Linked DNA regions of Rattus norvegicus. The protein of the gene in region 1 interacts with the protein of each later gene in a biochemical or structural test. Links are inferred from orthologs where the notes say so. Each region holds a gene or a part of one and is shown in the gene's direction. Other genes may lie near its edges.

Region 1 (3,515 bases):
AGTTTGTGTGCCTCTACTCCCCAGCTCTCGTTCCTTTTTTTTTTTTAACCGAATGAATTAATTAACTATTTTATTAAGTGGCGAGGTAATGTTCCAGGTTCTGTTCTTATGGAAGCAGGGGCCTTTGATTTCCCATGAGACATTTTCTCCAGCCCTTTTTTTTTCTTACAAAAGACTCTTGCTGGTTTTGTTTTGTTTTGCACATTCCTGGGGATCTTAATGACATAAGAGCTACAGCCTGTCTGAGGCGTGGCTGTCATCCTAGAAATTGCAGGGGTTTTAAATGCGTTTAACATATTGGGGGGTGTTGGGGAGTTGTTGGCGGAGGGGCGAGTGTGAGTACATGCATACACATGCCCGTGACATGCGTGTAGAGATCAGAGGATGTCTTGCTAGAGTTGGATTTTTACCTTCCATCACTTGGAGTCCAGGGATGAAACTCAGGTCACGCCACTGAGCCACCTGGCTAGCCCCTCACCGTGGAATTCTCACCAGGGAAGGTGGAAGTTGAATTGTGCCTCGTAAGGGTGTCCTGAGTAAAGTGTTCTCCAGCCTGGGGGCATCCTGCCACCTCACAGCCCACCGATGGCCTTCAGGGGTTGTGCCCTAAAATGAAGCTGAAGTGCTGAGTTTCCTGCCCGCCTTAGGTTTTCTCTCATTTTCTACACATCCTGGCTCTTTCCAAGGCCTCACAGAGAATGCCAGCTAATGCCAGCCCAGAGCCGCCTTTGTGGAGGGTTAGAGGGTCAGGGACCTGTTTAAGGATTGTGCACCAGCTTCCCCAATTCAAGTGGAGAGGTGAGAGAGCCCTGCCCACCCTAGATTTCAGTATCAAAGGCAGTGTTTGTTCAAACAAGGTGCTATGTGGAGGAAGCACGCACCAGGAGACTGGCTCCCCGAGAGGCTCATCCCAGCCAGATCTGAACGTGCCCTTGGCCTTGGGAATGCGCCCTGATCCCGTGAAGCCCCTGTGTGCCTTTGCTCAACAGTACCGTAGGTGTTTGGGGGAATGGGGAAAAGTTAATGTTCTTTTAAAAATCAGTGCTCCCCGCCCCCATTTAAGTGCCATTAAAATGTCCATCCATAGAGAAGGTATGTGCACCTGGGAATTTTTGCCGACGTATGTCTGTAACCATCACCAATCCATACAAAACGTGTCGGGGTGGGAGAGGTGGCTCGGTGGGTAAAGCGCTTGCTTGCCAGCCTAAGGATCTGAGCTCTGGTCCCAGCACCCACATAAAAGTTAGACACGGCAGCAAGGTCCCAGCACCCACATAAAAGTTAGACACGGCAGCAAGCGCCTTCAACCCAGGCACTGTGGGCGGTTGAGACGGGTGAATACAGGGTGGCTCACTGTGGGCCAGTCCAGCTGAAACAGCAGGCTCCGTGTTCATAGAGAGAACCTGCCTTTAAGGTTTAAGGGTGAAAAGCAACACAGAGGACTTACCTAATGTCGATGGTATCCATGGGTACACACGGGTGAGCATGCTCAAACGCATGCATGCACACATGTATGCACCACATACATACACATATCACGCATTTTTTAAAGATTTATTTATTTCATGTGAGTGAGGACACTGTAGCTGTCTTCAAACACACCGCATCTTTTTTTGTTTGTTTGTTTTAAATAAAGGAAAAAGGAATAGGGTTGGCATTGCTCTGGTTTCTCCAGACTTTTAGCGTGAGGCACCTAAGTCTGCGTGTAGTCGTTTGTATATCAGCTCTTTGCTGGGTTCTGTTTGTAATGTTCATGCATGTGCTTCATGCTGTCTTGGTTCATCCAGTCTCTGTTTTACCTGTTACGTGAATATTCCTTGGTTCAGCCACTTACTGTAGATAGGACTGGCGGGGAGGGTGTATTCCCTATCCGGGATGTGATGAACAGTGTAGCCCTGTCTTCTACTAAACCTTTGCCTGACCCGAGGCAGTTGTTCTGCCGTGCGGCTTGTGTTTGTGTAAACTTAGCATGTTTGTGTAAGCTTAGCGTGTTCTGCCAGCCTTACACAGTGGACACCCCAATAGATCCCCACCAGCCCGACAAGTTCACGGCAGACACTGAGCCGTCCATTTCTCTCAGTGTGGCCACTCTGGGAAGCGAACTGCGCCAGCACATCGTGACTGGGATTTGCATTTTCTGACGTCTGTTGAAATTTACCCTGCAGTCTTATTCCATTTAAACATGACAGTTAAACAGAAGCATCTGTCTGCCCACCTTGGCTCTTCGTTTCACAAATACCGTGGCTTCCCTGAGTACACAGCTGCCCAGACTGCTTCCACAGCCTCTAACTGACTTTCTGTAACCCAAGGAAGAAGAAGAAAAATGCCTCTATGTGCCCCGTCAGTACCACCCGGGACCGCGTGCCCACTTACCTGTACCGTATGGACTTCGAGAAGATGGGCAAATGTATCATCATAAATAACAAGAACTTCGACAAAGCGACAGGTGGGTGCGGGGCAGGGCTAGCCTCTCCTGACTCTCCCACTTTCTCCACAGACATTCCTCAGAGAGAGCTGTGCCAGGCTCTCCATGTCCAGGAGAGAGAGGTGCAGAGAATTCTCAGTCTGAGACCCTGCCGTGTATGTAGGAGCCTGTCTGAGTTACTGTCCTGTTGCTGGGATAAAATGGCCTTTTTTCTTGGGTGGTTCTAGATCATGTGACATTGGCAGCCAGTACTGGCCATCCCGAGACCACGAGGACGCTCACTTGTGTGGAGGCTGGGTCCTTGGGAGTTCGCCTCTAGTCTGTCTCTCCCGTGTGCGGTTAAGCTGTAACCCTGAAAGGTGCTTCTGCTTCAGGGGTTTTTGTTCCTGGAGCCCACACAGCACCTGGTCTGCCTAGAGTCTGTTCTCAGCATTGCTCACCCCACTCCTTGCCTCACCCCCACAGGTATGGATGTCCGGAATGGGACGGACAAAGACGCAGAGGCCCTCTTCAAGTGCTTCCGAAGCCTGGGTTTTGAAGTGACCGTCTATAATGACTGCTCTTGCGCAAAGATGCAGGATCTGCTTAGACGAGGTGAGTGCGAGCCGTCCTGGCCCGGCCTACCCCGGCACCTAGAGGAACAGGGTCTGGGCTCCAGAATGTCGGCCGTAGGCAGACCCCATTGTAATCGTGTGGATGGACTTTGGACAGGGCGAGAGAGAGACTGGAGAGTAAATTAGGGACCAGACCAGACTCCAGGAGCTATGCCCACCTCCCGGAGACGTGTGTTTACTGTATACCAGGCCTATCCAACCTTGACATTAACTGATGTCTTCATGCTCGTGCACTGTGCAGAGTTGCAAAGTCAATCCGAGAAGACTTAGGTAAGTTTCCCACTTTGTAGTGAGCCTGAGTCATAGCTGTGCTATGGTGCAGGCTGCCCACAGTTGGATGTGCCTTAAAGGATGCCACTGGGGTACTGTCCCACCTGAGGCAAAAGTAGAATCCCACCGCTCACCAGACACCGACCTGCAGACAGCAGGGGCTCAGCTTTCCTTAACCACAGATCTAAACAGGAAGACCTCGTATG
Region 2 (3,515 bases), on another chromosome or scaffold:
ACAGAATCTTTTGAAGAGCAAATGCCTTTAATTTTGATGATGACATTTTATCAGTTTTATCTTTTATGGATTATGGTTTTGGTCCTTGTATAAAAGTTCTGTTTTTGAATATTAACCCCCGTGCTTCAGAATGCTAAGCAGAGGTTCTGTATCTGAGCTCCAGGCTCCTTTGCTTTAGATTTATTTTTACTGTATTTACTGACATACATGTCTGAGTTAGGTCTACTATTGCTATGATGAAACACATGGCCAAAGCAACTTAGGTCAAAGCAAATAAAGGATTTATTTATTTTATTTTCACAGTTCACCATAAAAGTCAGGGCAGGCACTCAAGCAGGCTGGAACATGGACGCAGGAGCTGATGCAGAGGCCATAGGAGTGCTGCTGAGCTGGTTTGCTCCCATGGCTTGCTTAGCCTGCTTTCTTATAGCATTTAGGACCACCAGCCCAAGGCTGTTCCCACTCACAGTGGACTGGGGACATTATATTAAGTCACTAATTATAAAAAATGCTGTACAACTGGATTTTAGGGAGGCATTTTTCAATTGACGTTCCTTCCTCTCAGATGATTTTAGCTTATGTCAAGTTGACAAAACTATCTGTCACAGTGTGTGACTGCATGTGGGAATGTGCACACGAGTGTAGGCCCAAGAAGGCCAGAAACACTGAGTCCCCTGGAGCTAGAGGTCCAGAGGTTGTGAGCTTCCTGAGCTAGGAACTGATCTCTGGTGCTCTGTTAAGAGCAACTTGAGCATTGAGCTCTCTCTCCAGCCTTCCTGTCTAGATGAACATTCTGACGTAAGGAAGGACAAAAGGTCTTTTCTTACATTTCAGGATAAAGTTCATCCTTAGTTTATTTTTGCATGTAGCATAAGTCATGGGTTTGTGCTTTAAAAAGAAAATTTGCATGTAGACATCCAGTTGTTCAGCATTTTTTCTAAAGTGAGTAGAATGGAGGTAGATGTTACATGAACTTCCTCCAAGAAGTCTTGGTAGGTGAAATCTGTGAGAAACATGGCCACATAGGTGGGGAAATAACTTGACTATTGGTTTCCTGGATGGAGTGTGGGGTATTGAACTCTGGAGCAGGATTGGGTTTTACTATGTTATGAACAATGAAAATGTTAATGGATAATGACTAATAGGTTTTGAAATCTTGTTAAGCATGAAAAAGACAATGTTTATAACACTGTGTTTCACATGACAACTTTTGCTCCTTTCTAAGTGCACAATGTCCCCTCCCTTTTGTTTTGTATAAGTGGGATGAGACAGCAAAACAGTGGAATGCACCAACAGCTAGGAGTGTGTGTGTGAGAGTTTGGTTTCTGGTAGAAACATGTCTGCTGGGTTGTGATATAAACGCTTTTTTGGTGGGTATAATGAAGAGAAAGCCAGTCATCTAGAATAATCGTTTATTTTTGATATGAAATACTTTTAAAATAGTTTTTGTTTCACATTTTAGGTGTGAGTTCTTGATACGGATGAAGGGTCAGGAGTTTGTTGATGAGATTCAAGCTAGATATCCTCATCTTCTTGAGCAGGTAAACTGATTTTAAAATTTACATGAGAGCTGGGAAGGTGGCTCATTTAGGAAAGTTCTTACTGCTGTATGAGGCCCTGAATTCAGATCCCAGCAGCACATACGAAGCTGGGTGTACCAGCATATATCAGTAACCCAAGGGTGTTGGAAACCGGTGAGCCCTTGGAGGTCACTGGCAGGTAATCTGGCCAGATAACTCAGTGAGTTCCAGGTTGAATGAGACAGATCTTGTCTTAAAAAAGACACTCGTGTCTACCTTTGTCTACCCATGTTTGCACACATAGATGCATATACCCATATGAACAGGTTCATATACTCTCTACACATACAAATAAAGTATAGCATTGAATTATACTATGAAGTAATAATTACAGAAATCTTTGAAGTGATGTTTATTTTTATTTTATTTATATAATTTTGAGGCAAAATTGAGTTTACAATTTTTTTATAGCATTTTAGGCACTGTACTTAAGGAAAAAGAGCTGGAGTTCAAGTCCCTTGGCATGGGCCACAGTAATGGCATCCTTGACAGTTTTGTTGTTAGCTTGCTGTTCAGGGGTCTTTCTTTATAAATGTTGTCTTTTCCTTTTCCTTTAAAAAAACTTATATCCTGCCACTGTACAGAGGTTTTTTGTTTTTTGTTTTTTTTTTTAAACTGGGGTTAAAGAGGTAACTTCAATGTCTCTTTAGTCTCTTCCATAAAAAAAAAAAAAATCCAAAATCAAAATCTTGTTAGGAGTTAAGACCTTTGAAGAGTTACTCAAACGAACTGTCACTTTCCCGATGGAGGGAGGCGGCATTGCTGCTCTCCTGCTCTCTAACATAGCAGCCACACTGTGGTTGTCACTTGGATGCAGATAACAGTGTAAGCACAGTGGTACAAAACAAAGTAAAGTATATGTGTGCATTTATTTTAGAGTTTTGGGACAGGGTTTCTTGTAGCTGAGGCCTGCCTTGAACTCCTGATCTTGTCTCAGACTCCTAAGTGCTGAAATTACAGGAGTATGCTAGCATACCTGGAGTTTCCAAAAGGATGTGTGCATTTGCTTAAATGTCTGTTTGCTGGGCTGCGGTGGCTCACTCCAGTAATCCCGGTACTTGGAAAGCTGAGGCAGGAAGGTTTCCCTGAGTGGTCGGTAAGCTCAGCAGCAGAGTTAAGGGCCTGTCTTACAAGGCAGATCCCCGAGTGCTGTCTAGACGGTGTGACATTTCTGGTTTACCTACTGAGTGTTCTCTTCTCTCATAGCTGTTGTCCACTTCAGACACCTCAGAAGAAGAAAATGCTGACCCTCCAGGTAAGTAGGAAAATTGTTTAAATACAACTGTGAATTTTTGTAAGAACGTTAAGAATGAAAGTATATTAGAGAAAGGGGTGGTGGTACTTTTAAAGTCATAGGGGAAATTTTGGGACGTTAACTAGAAAATGTATTGTTTCTGCTGAGATTCACGACTTTAATATATATTATTATATAAAGAGCTGACATATGAAGTGATGAGACACATGCAGAAAACAAAAGCTTGAGGTGTACCAAATGAAAGCTTTACCTCCAGAGAGAAAGTCACTTTGCCTAGAATGTGTTAGAAGAGGCTGGCCTGCAGGTGATTGATGGTGGGGCTGGAGATAGAATAAGGATGCAATGCAAGGTCTGCATGAGAGCTGGATATAACCAGATCTTAGTAGTTCCGGGTGCGTGCGTGCGTGCGTGCGTGCGTGTGATCTACATGTGTTATGGTTAAATAACTGTCACTTTAAGTGCTGATCATTTCAGAAGGGGAGAGCTGGTTCTGGCTCACCGTTTGAAGAGAGGCGTTGGCAGCTCTGCAGCCAGTACAGAGAAAGATGACCAAGATCTAGAAAAGTTATAGAAACCTTCACTGCAGAGTAGATAGGGCCTTGGTCATGGAAGCTGTGCTCAGTGGGTAAGACACTGGGTCATGTGTGAGAGGAAGGAGAACCTGAGTATGTGGTAAGTGC
Region 3 (4,288 bases), on another chromosome or scaffold:
TGGCCACTTTGGGAAGCTTCTCATGACTCCTCCCCTAGTTGGGATGAGTCAGGCACTCTCTTGGTGCCCCTATACTGGCTAGTCCCACCCTTGATCACTAACTGAGAAAATGCCTTACAGCTGGATCTCATGGAAAACAGTTTATCAAGGGAGGTTCCTTTCTCTGTGATAATCCCAGCTTGTGTCAAACACAAGTTGATAAAACTAGCCAGTATAGGAGCACCAAGAGAGTGCCTGACTCATCCCAACTGGGGGAGGAGTCATGAGAAGCTTCCCACAGGGGCCATTTCTCCTCTTGGTTGAGTTGATCTTGGCAGAAAGAGAAGGGAAAGTGTGTTTGTGATTTACTGGTTCCTAGAAAACACTCAGCACAGTTCTGCCCGCCCTAAACAGACTCATCCTCCAGGCCACATTGCCCTGCTCATCCCAATCCCAATCCATGCCACATGCCTCGAGAAGAACAGACAGGAGTGGGAACTGGGCTACTTAAAATCCACTCAAGGTGGAAGAGATTCATTTATGGACCATTTGAATAAAATTAACTAAAGATGTGCATACCACTTTTTATCTCCCCACACTTCATAGCCACTTGGAGAACGGTTTGGATGATCTGGAGGATGCCTTCTGTAAGCAGTTAAGTGATGGAAGGGGAAACTGGGTGCTGGTTGCTGGCTGTGCAGGTGACGAGCTGTCAAGTCTACTATATTTAGAAAAAAGAAGCACATCAGTTCAGAATTAGTTGACACAGCTGTCAAGTGTGATGGAAACTCTAAAAATGGATTCTACCTTGGGCACCAGAGCCAACAGCTATGGTTAAGGAGATGTAGAAGACAGTAGTTGAGGTTTGAGACAAGGATTTGAGTGTGAGCTTTGCCAGAGCCAGGCTGTGAAGGTCTCTGATGGTCTTTAGAGGATTAGTCCAGTAGACAGGTATGTGGGCCTTGGGGTTACCTCCTTAGACCCCGCTGATGCACACAGCCCAGCAAAGGCATCTATGCTGGGCACTTCACCTTCCAAGGCCATTTGCAGCAAATGGCTGGGACATTTCTTGAATGCCTCATTGTCTGCTGTAAGTGAGGTATTCAGAAGGAGCTCACTGTAGTTCAACACATTAAACACACCAGTTGGTATGCCTCAAGGACCCCCTGACTACTGCTTGGGGCGGGAAGGTGGAGGAAAATGTAAAGGGCAGGGCATGAGTCTGCCTTACGGAACTCTGGAAAGGTGCAGCCCCCCTCTACAACATTAGGTCATCGCCGCAAGATTATCTCGATCTTTATCTGGCATCTGCTGTTTCTTGAAGTCTTTTTTTTTTTTTTTTTTTTTTTTTGAAATCCTTTGAGCGAAGAGCACAGGGAGGGGCGGTCCGCAGGAGACAGGGTGGGGCTATCCTTAGCTAGTTCGGGTTCTAGGGTCGCGGTGCGGCCGCGCCCACTCCGCCGGCGTCAGCGCGCTTCCGGAAACTGCTCGCCCCTGGGAACCCGGTTTCCCCCGCGTAGGTTCCGGAAGAGCTCGGTTCCCGTAGCCGAGCGCGCAGTGCAGGCGCGAGCAGCTGTAGCGGAGAGCTAGCTTTGTTCCCGGCACGTTGTTGTCCCTGCGCGCTCAAGGCGGCCGGAGTCCTGGTGTCGCGCGCGCTGGGGACCCGCGGGAGCTGAGCACGGGGTGTGATCGCTGCCGCCAAGACTTCGGGGCTCGTGCGCCCTGTGTTGCTTGGAGCGATCCCAGGCGGCTGCAGCTCTCGTGCGGTCCCTGCGAGGTAGGCGCAGCGACTGCCAAGGCGGTGCAATGCTGGGCCGGCCCGGAAGCCGCGCTCCGGGTCGTTGACGGCGCGGACTCGGCGCCTCTCCCCGGCTTCCCGCAGCACCCGCGCCTGCCTTCGACTGCCCGTCCCGCGGCACCCGGCGCGCCGTGACCATGGCCATCGCCCACCTGGCCACGGAGTACGTGTTCTCGGACTTCTTGCTGAAGGAGCCCACCGAGCCCAAGTTCAAGGGGCTGCGACTGGAGCTGGCAGTGGACAAGATGGTCACGTGCATTGCCGTGGGTCTGCCTCTGCTGCTCATCTCGCTGGCCTTCGCTCAGGAGATCTCCATCGGTGAGGCCGGGGGCGCAGGGGCAGTCTAGGCTAGGCTGGCATTGTCTGAGGTTGACGAGGGGTGCTGAGAGATCTCATCGCACACAGCTGGCATTTCCACATGACCCTTCTAATGTAGCCACCCTGGTCGTACCGGAATTTGAGTCTGAAGCCTTTTTTGCCCATGTGCAACCTGGGTACCTCTGTTGACTCTCCTAGCATCCCCTTCCAGTCCCTTTGTCTCCATTATTGCGGCTTGGAGTTTATGTTCAGCCTGTTGCCGCGAGATGTGTCAAGAAACGGCTCTTCCTACTCCTCTCTCCAGTGATTGTACAGTCACCTGTAATTTCCTGAGTGGTTCCAGGGAGAATGTAAAGACAAGCGTTCCTCGTACCTGTGCTGTTTCACTGTCTTGCCTTTAAATGATACTTGAGTTCTGTCTTAGGGTTATGTGTGCTGGAGACTAACTGCCCCTGGAGGCAGGAGTGGTCCCCAACAATGAATGAAAGATGAAGAAATGACCCAGTCCCCTTCCTATAAGCTCTCATTTCGTCCTAATAGTTATGTGCAGTTCCATTGGTCAAGATCATTAGGCAGAGTGAGTGGTCTTATTTATCCTAACTTTCATAACCTGAGTGAGAGTGTGAATTGCAGCTAAGTAGTATAGGAGGGTCAACGGCATTTGCAGCTGGGGCAGAACACCTGTGTCAGGTGTGGGTGACCGCAGGTGAGACTGTCTCCAAGACCTTGAGATGACACATGTTCCTGGAAAGGAGGCCCAAAGCACTGTGTCGGCCAGAAGTAGAGGGCTTTCTCTGGAAAGCTGAGGGTGTATGCGCCTGGGTCAGATTACCAGAGAAAGGCACATGCACACTCGCCTGAGATTGGGAGGTTATTGACTGACAGACAGGCTGACAACAGTATTCAATGAGTAATGGTGAGGATGCATAGCTTCTGGATGTAGGAGGGGAGAGGTGGGCCTCTACTGGGGCATTCATTTGACAGATCTTGTACATGCATGAGGGATGAGCAGAGGGAGGAAGATGACGGATCCTTCTGAGAGATGAGGGGCAACAGGCGCTGAGATGTTAACAGGCTGTGGAGGGAAGAGAGTACTCCCACATGAGCAGGCTGGTGGGCATTGAGGTAAACTTGGTTAGAAAAGGGCATGGCGTGCACAGTCTGCGCCGTGTATGGCCGAGTTGGTCAGTGAGGTGGAAGTTGCTGAAGTAATGGTGCAAAGTGAGTTCTCTGTTTTCCTGGTTCTTGGGCAGGGATCGTCCTACTGAAAGGAAAACCGCAAAGTCGTTTGGATCCTGATGATAGTTTCTGCCTTCTCTCTGTGGGCTGAACCAGGAATAAATGTCCCTGTGCTGGAGAAGCAAGCTGTGGGCACTTGGGCGGGCAGAGGGCCAGCAAGGAGCAGCTGATCACTGTCTGTAAAGTCCCCAACTAGATGGGCTCTGAGGCACCTGATGGGCAGGTCCAGATGGATGTGCTGTGTGAGAGGCATCTTGCAGGGAGGCATGGAAAGTGGGTTTAGCCGGCAAGGCTCTGCTTCTGCTGTGTGCGAGCCTTGCTGTGCACTGTGGGGGGATAGGAAGGATTCTGAGGCATGGTCCTCTCTACCTGTGAGACTTTACCATCCAGATAGGTACTGTCTGCTACCTGGTGACACCCTGCTGCCTCTGTGATTCCAGGATAAGGCAGCTGCGGGAACTCTGGGCACCGGCCTGGCTGTCTCTTAAGTAAACTCTTAGGCAGATGCCCTTGTCTTCTGAAGGGCTCCAGAGTTTCAAGGGGAAGATAGGTGTGTGGATGAAGGCAGCAGAAGTCCTAGGAGGTCAGGTCAGTGTTCATGGTCAATAGTTGATCTTGTGAAGTTTAATTGTGTGACATTGAGGGTAAAATAAAACAAGGGGGGGTTGTAATAGCCCCAGAGTGCTGGTCAGCTTTATGAAAACTTGACACTATCATTAGGAAGAGGTAACCTCAAACGACAAAGTACCCCGACCACATTGATAATTGGTGTGGGAGGGCCCAGGTCACTGGACAGTGCCACCTCTGGCTGGTGGTCCTGGGGTGTTAAGAAGGCAGACGGAGAAAGCCATGAGCAGCAAGCCAGTAAGCAGCACCCCTCCATGGCCTCTGCTTCAGTTCCTGCCTCCAGGTTCCTGCCCTGATTTTCTGCCTTGACTTCCCTCAGTGTGGTGT
Region 4 (3,515 bases), on another chromosome or scaffold:
CTGCACTACCGACCATCAAGAGCCTGGGGAGACCCTGGTCATGAATAGACATGACCGAGGCCACATAAGAGTGAATCACTGTGCCTTGTTGGGAAGGAGAGTGCTACTTGCTCCTTCAGGCATGTGGACACTCCTAAAGGCTGTAGAGGCCATGCTGGTGTGGGCAGAGGACAAGGTTCTGCTTCTGGGCACTAGCCCAGCTGCACCTAGTCTGCCCTTAATGGTGAACTCATTATCCCAAGTCCTCTCCGCTGCTTGAATCCTGGGGTCTGCAAACACATGTGGTCAGTTAGAGCCTGCTTTCTGCTCCTCCTTGACAGACCCTTTCTCTGCTGTCTCCTTGCTTGCAGTTCACACCTAAATCAGTGATTTTGTTCTCTACAGAGACTTCAGTGAACGCAGGTGGTGTCCTCACTGTCCACCCCCTAGAAAGAGCAGTTAGATCTCCCAGTTGTGAGATCTGAAGCAGAGGCCATGGCCTGACTATAACTAGTGCTGTGTTTCACTCACAGAGGCCCATCCATCCATGCCAACCTGGCAGTCAGTGCTGGGTACTTGGTGCTTAACTCAGTGTGGCCATACTGATCAGACCTTTCAGCTTGGTCAGCTTGTGCTTTCTTACTCGGGAGTTGGGAGGAAGAGTATGGAAGGACGCAGAGCTCTCACCACCCACCTTCTTCTGAGCATTCTGGCCTCATCTCTAGATTCAGCCTTTCTAGTCTGCCCCTGAGCAGGCCCAGGGTAGCCAGCATGGATCACCCATTTGTTCTCTGTGTAGCCTATGCCCTACCCCATTTTCTCTGTTGCACACTCATGGGTTGGGGTCTTGGGTTTGCTGTTCTGCCTTCTGTTTCCCTACTGCTTCTGTCTTCTTCAGAAGATTTTCCCTAAGAGAAGAGTAAAGGCCAGGGCTGGCCAGACTCTGACCTCTCCTGAAGAGCCAGCTGTTTTGTCTTGCCTTTGTTCATCCTTTCCTGAGAGCGCAGTAGAATGGTCTTAGCCTGACGCTTCTGATCTCTTACCCCAGACAAACCCCTGTCTAACATGAAGATCCTGACTCTTGGTAAGCTCTCCCAGAACAAGGACGAAGCAAAGGCCATGATTGAGAAACTCGGAGGCAAGCTGACAGGATCTGCCAACAAGGCCTCCTTGTGTATCAGCACTAAGAGTAAGTTTGACGGGCGCGTGCCTCTCAGAGGTGGTGAGGGTTCTGTGGCACAGCTAGGGTCAGACACTTCTCACTGTAGCTTGTAGGTAAAACTGGTATTTGTACTGTATTCCGTGTGTTCACACAGGCTCCTGGTCCCAGTCAGACCATAAGCTTACACTGCTCAGTGTTCATGGATGACCCTGGGTTCCTTTGTAGGCAGGCGGAGGTTACCACTTTGTGGTCTGGTGATGGATGCCAGACCCACATTTATATTAAGACTGTTCTGCTAAGTGTTATGGTCTGGGCCTAAGAGTCCATTTCTGCTGAGTGCCTCCTGACACCACACTCAGGATTTAGAGAAGGTGGCCACCCTTGGCTTTGTGGACCAGAGGGACAGCCAGTACCACTGGAGCGTGACTGCTGAGATGAGGTTCAGCGTACAGCTTGGGAGAGAAGTTGTTGGTCATGGGGTCGTTGGCCTTCTCAGACTGTAGGAAGGTAGCCGTTCAGCTTATCGGTTGAGGTTTTCATTTCTCCCTGTCTGGTTGTAAACAGAGGAGGTGGAGAAGATGAGTAAGAAGATGGAGGAAGTGAAAGCAGCCAATGTTCGAGTCGTGTGTGAGGACTTCCTCCAGGATGTGTCTGCCTCAGCTAAGAGCCTCCAAGAGCTGCTCTCAGCCCATAGCTTGTCCTCGTGGGGGGCTGAGGTGAAGGTAGAGCCTGGTGAAGTGGTGGTCCCCAAGGGGAAGTCAGCTGCACCCTCCAAGAAGAGCAAGGGTGCTGTCAAGGAGGAAGGTGAGACCCACCTGCCCTACCTGTGACCTTGGTTCTGTGTCCCTAAGGTGCTGTGGCGAGCAGTATCCTTAGTTCAGTGAGCGGACACAAAGCAGCAGGCCCTGTGGGGCAACAGGTGGTGTGCAGGTGCCATGACAGATGCCTCTGGAAACTGTTCTGCCTTTGCCTAAGTGGAGTCTTTGTGTTCCTCTGTCCCTTCCTTCCCAAGGTGTCAACAAGTCTGAAAAGAGGATGAAACTAACTCTGAAGGGAGGAGCAGCCGTTGATCCTGACTCTGGTGAGTGATCAGAGCCTCCCATGCCCTGGGAGATTAGGAGATGTCTCTAGTCAGGGTAGCTAGAGGGGAGCAGGCCAGTCCTGGACGCATGAGGGTCAGTGGGTACCTCTAAAGGTGTTGTGACATGAAACTAGCTGGGGACATGAGGCCTCTGTTCACCCTCTCCCTTCAAGGGAGAAAACCATAGGAGCTTTGTCTCTGGGGCAGGTCTGGAACACTCTGCACATGTCCTGGAGAAAGGCGGGAAGGTGTTCAGTGCCACGCTTGGCCTGGTGGACATTGTGAAAGGGACTAACTCCTATTACAAACTGCAACTTCTGGAGTCCGACAAGGAGAGCAGGTGAGCCTGGGCCTCCACACTGAGTGTGTGCTGCCCACCTGTGGAAGTCAGGCCGCTGCAGGGCCTGGAGCAAGAGAAACGGTCACAAAAGCCTATAGCGTTTGAAGTTCCTCCATAAAAAATAGCCACTCCTGAGTATCACTTATGCTGCCTTGCTTAACCATCACGGGTGTAGCTCCACTGATCCACTGGGCTATTCTGTTAGCCTCGAACTCGGAGGCCCACCTTCCTGTTACTTCCCAAATGCTGTGATTAAAGGCGTGCGCTACCACACCTGACTTCAAATTTATCGTTTTATGCTATTCCACACTTGCTGATCACTAGAATGAAGGTTATAGTTTAAACATCCTCTCTCAGTTATAGATGCTTGCCTAGTGTGTTCGAGGCCCTGGGTTCCACCTGCAGCACCACTCAATCAACACATGAAGGAGAGAGTGTGCTTTTAATGCTGCCCCTTATGGAGGAGGGCCTAACAGAACAGAAGCTCACCCTGGTCTCTGTCCCTTTACAGGTATTGGATCTTCCGGTCCTGGGGCCGAGTGGGCACAGTTATCGGCAGTAACAAGCTTGAGCAGATGCCGTCCAAAGAGGATGCTGTTGAACACTTCATGAAGTTATACGAAGAGAAGACTGGAAATGCCTGGCACTCGAAAAACTTCACAAAGTATCCCAAGAAGTTCTACCCTCTGGAGATTGACTATGGCCAGGTAATCACAGTAAGGTCTGTTCCTTTAACTCCACAGATATGTTTAAAGAAGAGTTAACAATACCAGGTGACGAATTCTTCCCCCCAAAGTGGAGGAAAACTTAACCAACTCATTCCATGAGGCCAGTGTTACCAAAGAACATCAGAAGAATATGCTGAACACCATCTCTGTAACGTAAAATCCTAACTAGTAAGTCAGGCCGTGTATGAGGTTTGTACACCAAGCTCAAGTACAATACAAACAAGT
Region 5 (3,515 bases), on another chromosome or scaffold:
TGGTAGATGTGGGAGTACTTACCAAGTAGGGCTGATGTGGGGATTCAGTAAAACCATGCATAAGATATTTTGTGTAGGATAATAGTAAATTTTCAAGAGTTAAGTTGCTCTTCATAGTGTTGTTATTATATGTCAAAGTGAAAGGAATTAGCTATTAAGGGCTTATGGTTAAAAAGGTCAGAGAGATAGGACAGAACTATGTGGTGCAATCATTTGTATAAAGTTAATCATCATCTAAGAAATAGGAGAAGGTGGAGAGAATGTATGGATTGTGTGTGTGGTTTTTTCCTTTTTTTTTTTTTTTTTTTTTTTTTGCTGTGACAGTTGTTCTGTCTTCCCAGCATGCTTTAGCTAGTGCCCTTGCTTTGTCTCAACGCTGTCTCGCTGCTGCTCTGGATGTATGTGGTTCCCCATGCTAGCAGCTGTTCTTTACTTTGTCTCATTTTGGAAAGCCCACAAAAAAGATAAGCATATGTTTAAATGATGTGTAATGGTTCTCAAAGATAAAGTTAGACTGTAAAGCACTTAGAGATGTTCTCTTTCAAAACTGTGCTGATATAGGCAAACTATAGAAACAAGTTTGACTGTAAATGTATCAATTTTGTAACTTTTTAATTTGTAGGCTTGAGTTTGAAAAAATTGAAGAACCTGAATTTATTGCATTATGTCAGAAGTTAAAGGTGCCCGATCATGTCAGAGAGAGAGCTTGGCTAACGTGGGAGAAAGTTTCATCTGTGGATGGAATCCTGGTAAGGATGTCTTTAAAGTTTTAAAGTCAGTTCTGTACCGATGATATTTTTTTCTCTGTTCATCTCCTCCCCCACTCTTCTTTCCCATCCTTCTATCTTCCATTTGCTGGTTCCCTTTCACGTCCAGATGGCTGCTCCTGCATTTGTGTCACATCTGTGCTATTATTCTTTCCCCTACACTTTGAAGGTCTTTTCCTCTCCTCTCATCTCCGCCTTCCAACTTTCATAACCATACACACACACACACACACACACACACACACACACACACACACACTTAAATTTAGCATCTTCAATAGGTGAGAGATACTTGTCTTTTTTTAGTCTGGCTTATTTTGATTAATACAACCTATGACCTCCAGTTACATTCATTTTTGTACAGATAACATGATTTCATTTTTCTTTGTGGTTGAATAAATTCTTTGTGTGTGTGTGTGTGCGTGTGCGTGTGCGTGTGTGTGTACTGGATTTTTTTTATCTGTGCATGGGGCATCTACACTTGTTCTATTTCGTAGCTACTGTGAGTAGTATGACAGGAAACATGGATGCATGAGTAGTACCTCTTTGGTGTCGGAGTAGTAGTTTTATGTAACCTCACACTGACTTGCATAGTGGTTGCACTACTCTACCTTACTACCAGCAGTATGTTAGGCTCTTCTTTCCCCACATCTTTACTAGCTAACATTTGTTGTTTTGATGTTAGCCTTGCTTGGGCAAAATGGAATCTCAAAGCAGTTTTACATTGCATTTCTCCATTTCAAATTTTTAATGCTCAGATGTATATTTTTTTCTGAGAACTGTGTGTTTAGTTGGTTCATTGGCCTAATTTTTGAGTGAATGATTTTCTTTAATAATATTTAAAATTTGAGGTTCTTCATCAGTTTTAGATATTAATACCATCTGATGTGTTAGTAAATATTTTTCCTGGTCTGTCTTGAAACTCACTATGGAGACCAGACTGGCTTCTAACTTACAGAACTGCATGCCTCTGCCTCCCAAGGTGCTTGGTATTAAAGGTGTGTACCACTACACTCAGCCCTGTATTATTTTTAATGTCTGTCTGTCTGTCTGTCTGTCTGTCTGTCTGTCTGTCTGTCTGTCTGTCTAATCTATCTATCTATCTATCTATCTATCTATCTATCTATCTATCTAATGTGTGTGCATACATGTTCTCATGCACAGTGCATGTGTTATGGTCAGAGGAACTCTTTCAGGAGTCAGTTCTTCTGCCATATGGGTTCTAGAATTGAACCTAGGTTATTGGGCTTAACAAGTTCCTTTACCCATTAAAGTCACACTGGCCTGGTATTGGGCAAAAGATATGGATTGAGTTATACATCTCTTGCAGGTAGATGCTGAGTTACCTCAGCATTATTTGAAGAGACTTTGTTCTCTGAGTGTCAACAACTTGGTGGCTATCAATGTATAGGTTTAATTCTGAAATCTCTTTGTTCGTCTGTGTATTTTTTATGCCAGTATCATAAAAGTTTTGTTACTATGGTTTTACAGTATACTTTGAAATCGACTATTCTGATCACCTGCTTAGGATTGCTTTCGTTATTCAGGATGTTTTGTCATCTCTTTTTTTTTTTTTTTCCGGAGCTGGGGACCGAACCCAGGGCCTTGCGCTTGCTAGGCAAGCGCTCTACCACTGAGCTAAATCCCCAACCCGATGTTTTGTCATCTCATACTCTAGTTTCATTTCTATTGTGATAACATATCCTGACAAAAACTACTTAGGAGAGAGAGCTTTATTTTAAGTCAGAATTCCAGATTATACTCTGTAATGATAGGGAAGTCAAAGAGGCAGAAGCGTAAAACAACTAGTCACATCACATCTGCAGTAAAGAGCAGAGAGGGATACATGCATGCATGCATGCCCGGTACTCATAGAACTTTCTCCATTCCTACTTCTGTAGTTCAGAGGCAAAACCCCTAGAATGGTGCTGCCTACTCTCATGCTGGGTCTCCCCAACAATTAAGGCAGTCAAGACAGTTTGCCACAGCTATGTCCAAGACCAACCTGATCTCTATAACTTCTGCAGACTCCCTTCCCAGGGATGCTAGCTACACTGTGTCAAGTTGGCAATTCAAGCTAATATTACAAGCTGACATCATCCTAGCTCTGTCAAGAATGTCACAAGAAATAGGGCTGACATTGTATTAATTCCATAGATATTTTCGGTAATGTAACTATTTTTACAGTATTAATTCTGCTAATCCAAGAACATAAGACTTTTTTGTTTATTGTTTGTTTTTTTAATTTTCTACTATCCTCTTAATCTTCCTTAAAGGTTTTAAAGTTTTCATTGTAATGGTCTTTTACTACTTTGGTTATGTTGATTCCCAGGTATTTTCTTTTTTGAAGCTAATATTTTTGTCTTGTTTGTTTAAAACAAGATCTTGCTTTGTAATTCTAAATGGTCTAGAACTCATTGTGTAGACCAAGCAGCCTTGAATCACAGAGATCCTGCCTCTGCCTTCTAAGTGCTGGGATTTATGGTATGTGCCACCATGTTCTTGAAGCTGTTAGCAATGGGATCTTTTCCTACTGATTTTTTTTTCTTGGCAGGTTAGTTATTGGTATGTAGAAAGGTACTTATTTTTGTCTGTTGACATTATATTCTGCTGTGTTGAAAGTATTTATCACATCTAAGAGTTTTCTACTGGAGTCCTTAAAATACAGGATCATGCCTCTGACAAATAGAGATACTTTCTTTCCCTTCCATTTGTATCCCTTTCATTTCTCTAGTTTTGCTGCTCTAG

What was found.
Region 2: the proteins of Casp7 (region 1) and Birc2 form a complex in vitro, tested with the Homo sapiens proteins (2 studies listed by BioGRID, with this or other methods). The link is inferred for Rattus norvegicus from reciprocal best matches to the Homo sapiens genes CASP7 and BIRC2.
Region 3: of the proteins of Casp7 (region 1) and Panx1, one has a biochemical effect on the other in vitro, tested with the Homo sapiens proteins (2 studies listed by IntAct). The link is inferred for Rattus norvegicus from reciprocal best matches to the Homo sapiens genes CASP7 and PANX1.
Region 4: of the proteins of Casp7 (region 1) and Parp1, one has a biochemical effect on the other in vitro, tested with the Homo sapiens proteins (3 studies listed by BioGRID). The link is inferred for Rattus norvegicus from reciprocal best matches to the Homo sapiens genes CASP7 and PARP1.
Region 5: of the proteins of Casp7 (region 1) and Rb1, one has a biochemical effect on the other in vitro, tested with the Homo sapiens proteins (2 studies listed by BioGRID). The link is inferred for Rattus norvegicus from reciprocal best matches to the Homo sapiens genes CASP7 and RB1.

Annotation. Positions count from the first base shown.
Region 1 is NC_086019.1:265,470,142-265,473,656, forward strand, and holds part of Casp7 (caspase-7), read left to right. Parts: intron 1-2,309; coding exon 2,310-2,446; intron 2,447-2,890; coding exon 2,891-3,019; intron 3,020-3,515. UniProt on the Homo sapiens protein: Thiol protease involved in different programmed cell death processes, such as apoptosis, pyroptosis or granzyme-mediated programmed cell death, by proteolytically cleaving target proteins.
Region 2 is NC_086026.1:13,261,530-13,265,044, reverse strand, and holds part of Birc2 (baculoviral IAP repeat-containing protein 2), read left to right. Parts: intron 1-1,462; coding exon 1,463-1,541; intron 1,542-2,786; coding exon 2,787-2,835; intron 2,836-3,515. UniProt on the Homo sapiens protein: Multi-functional protein which regulates not only caspases and apoptosis, but also modulates inflammatory signaling and immunity, mitogenic kinase signaling, and cell proliferation, as well as cell invasion and metastasis.
Region 3 is NC_086026.1:20,168,393-20,172,680, reverse strand, and holds the start of Panx1 (pannexin-1), read left to right. Parts: upstream 1-1,480; 5' UTR 1,481-1,914; coding exon 1,915-2,095; intron 2,096-4,288. UniProt on the Homo sapiens protein: Ion channel involved in a variety of physiological functions such as blood pressure regulation, apoptotic cell clearance and oogenesis.
Region 4 is NC_086031.1:94,856,475-94,859,989, forward strand, and holds part of Parp1 (poly [ADP-ribose] polymerase 1), read left to right. Parts: intron 1-1,027; coding exon 1,028-1,168; intron 1,169-1,705; coding exon 1,706-1,945; intron 1,946-2,153; coding exon 2,154-2,222; intron 2,223-2,429; coding exon 2,430-2,562; intron 2,563-3,073; coding exon 3,074-3,269; intron 3,270-3,515. UniProt on the Homo sapiens protein: Poly-ADP-ribosyltransferase that mediates poly-ADP-ribosylation of proteins and plays a key role in DNA repair.
Region 5 is NC_086033.1:54,905,350-54,908,864, reverse strand, and holds part of Rb1 (retinoblastoma-associated protein), read left to right. Parts: intron 1-622; coding exon 623-749; intron 750-3,515. UniProt on the Homo sapiens protein: Tumor suppressor that is a key regulator of the G1/S transition of the cell cycle. The hypophosphorylated form binds transcription regulators of the E2F family, preventing transcription of E2F-responsive genes.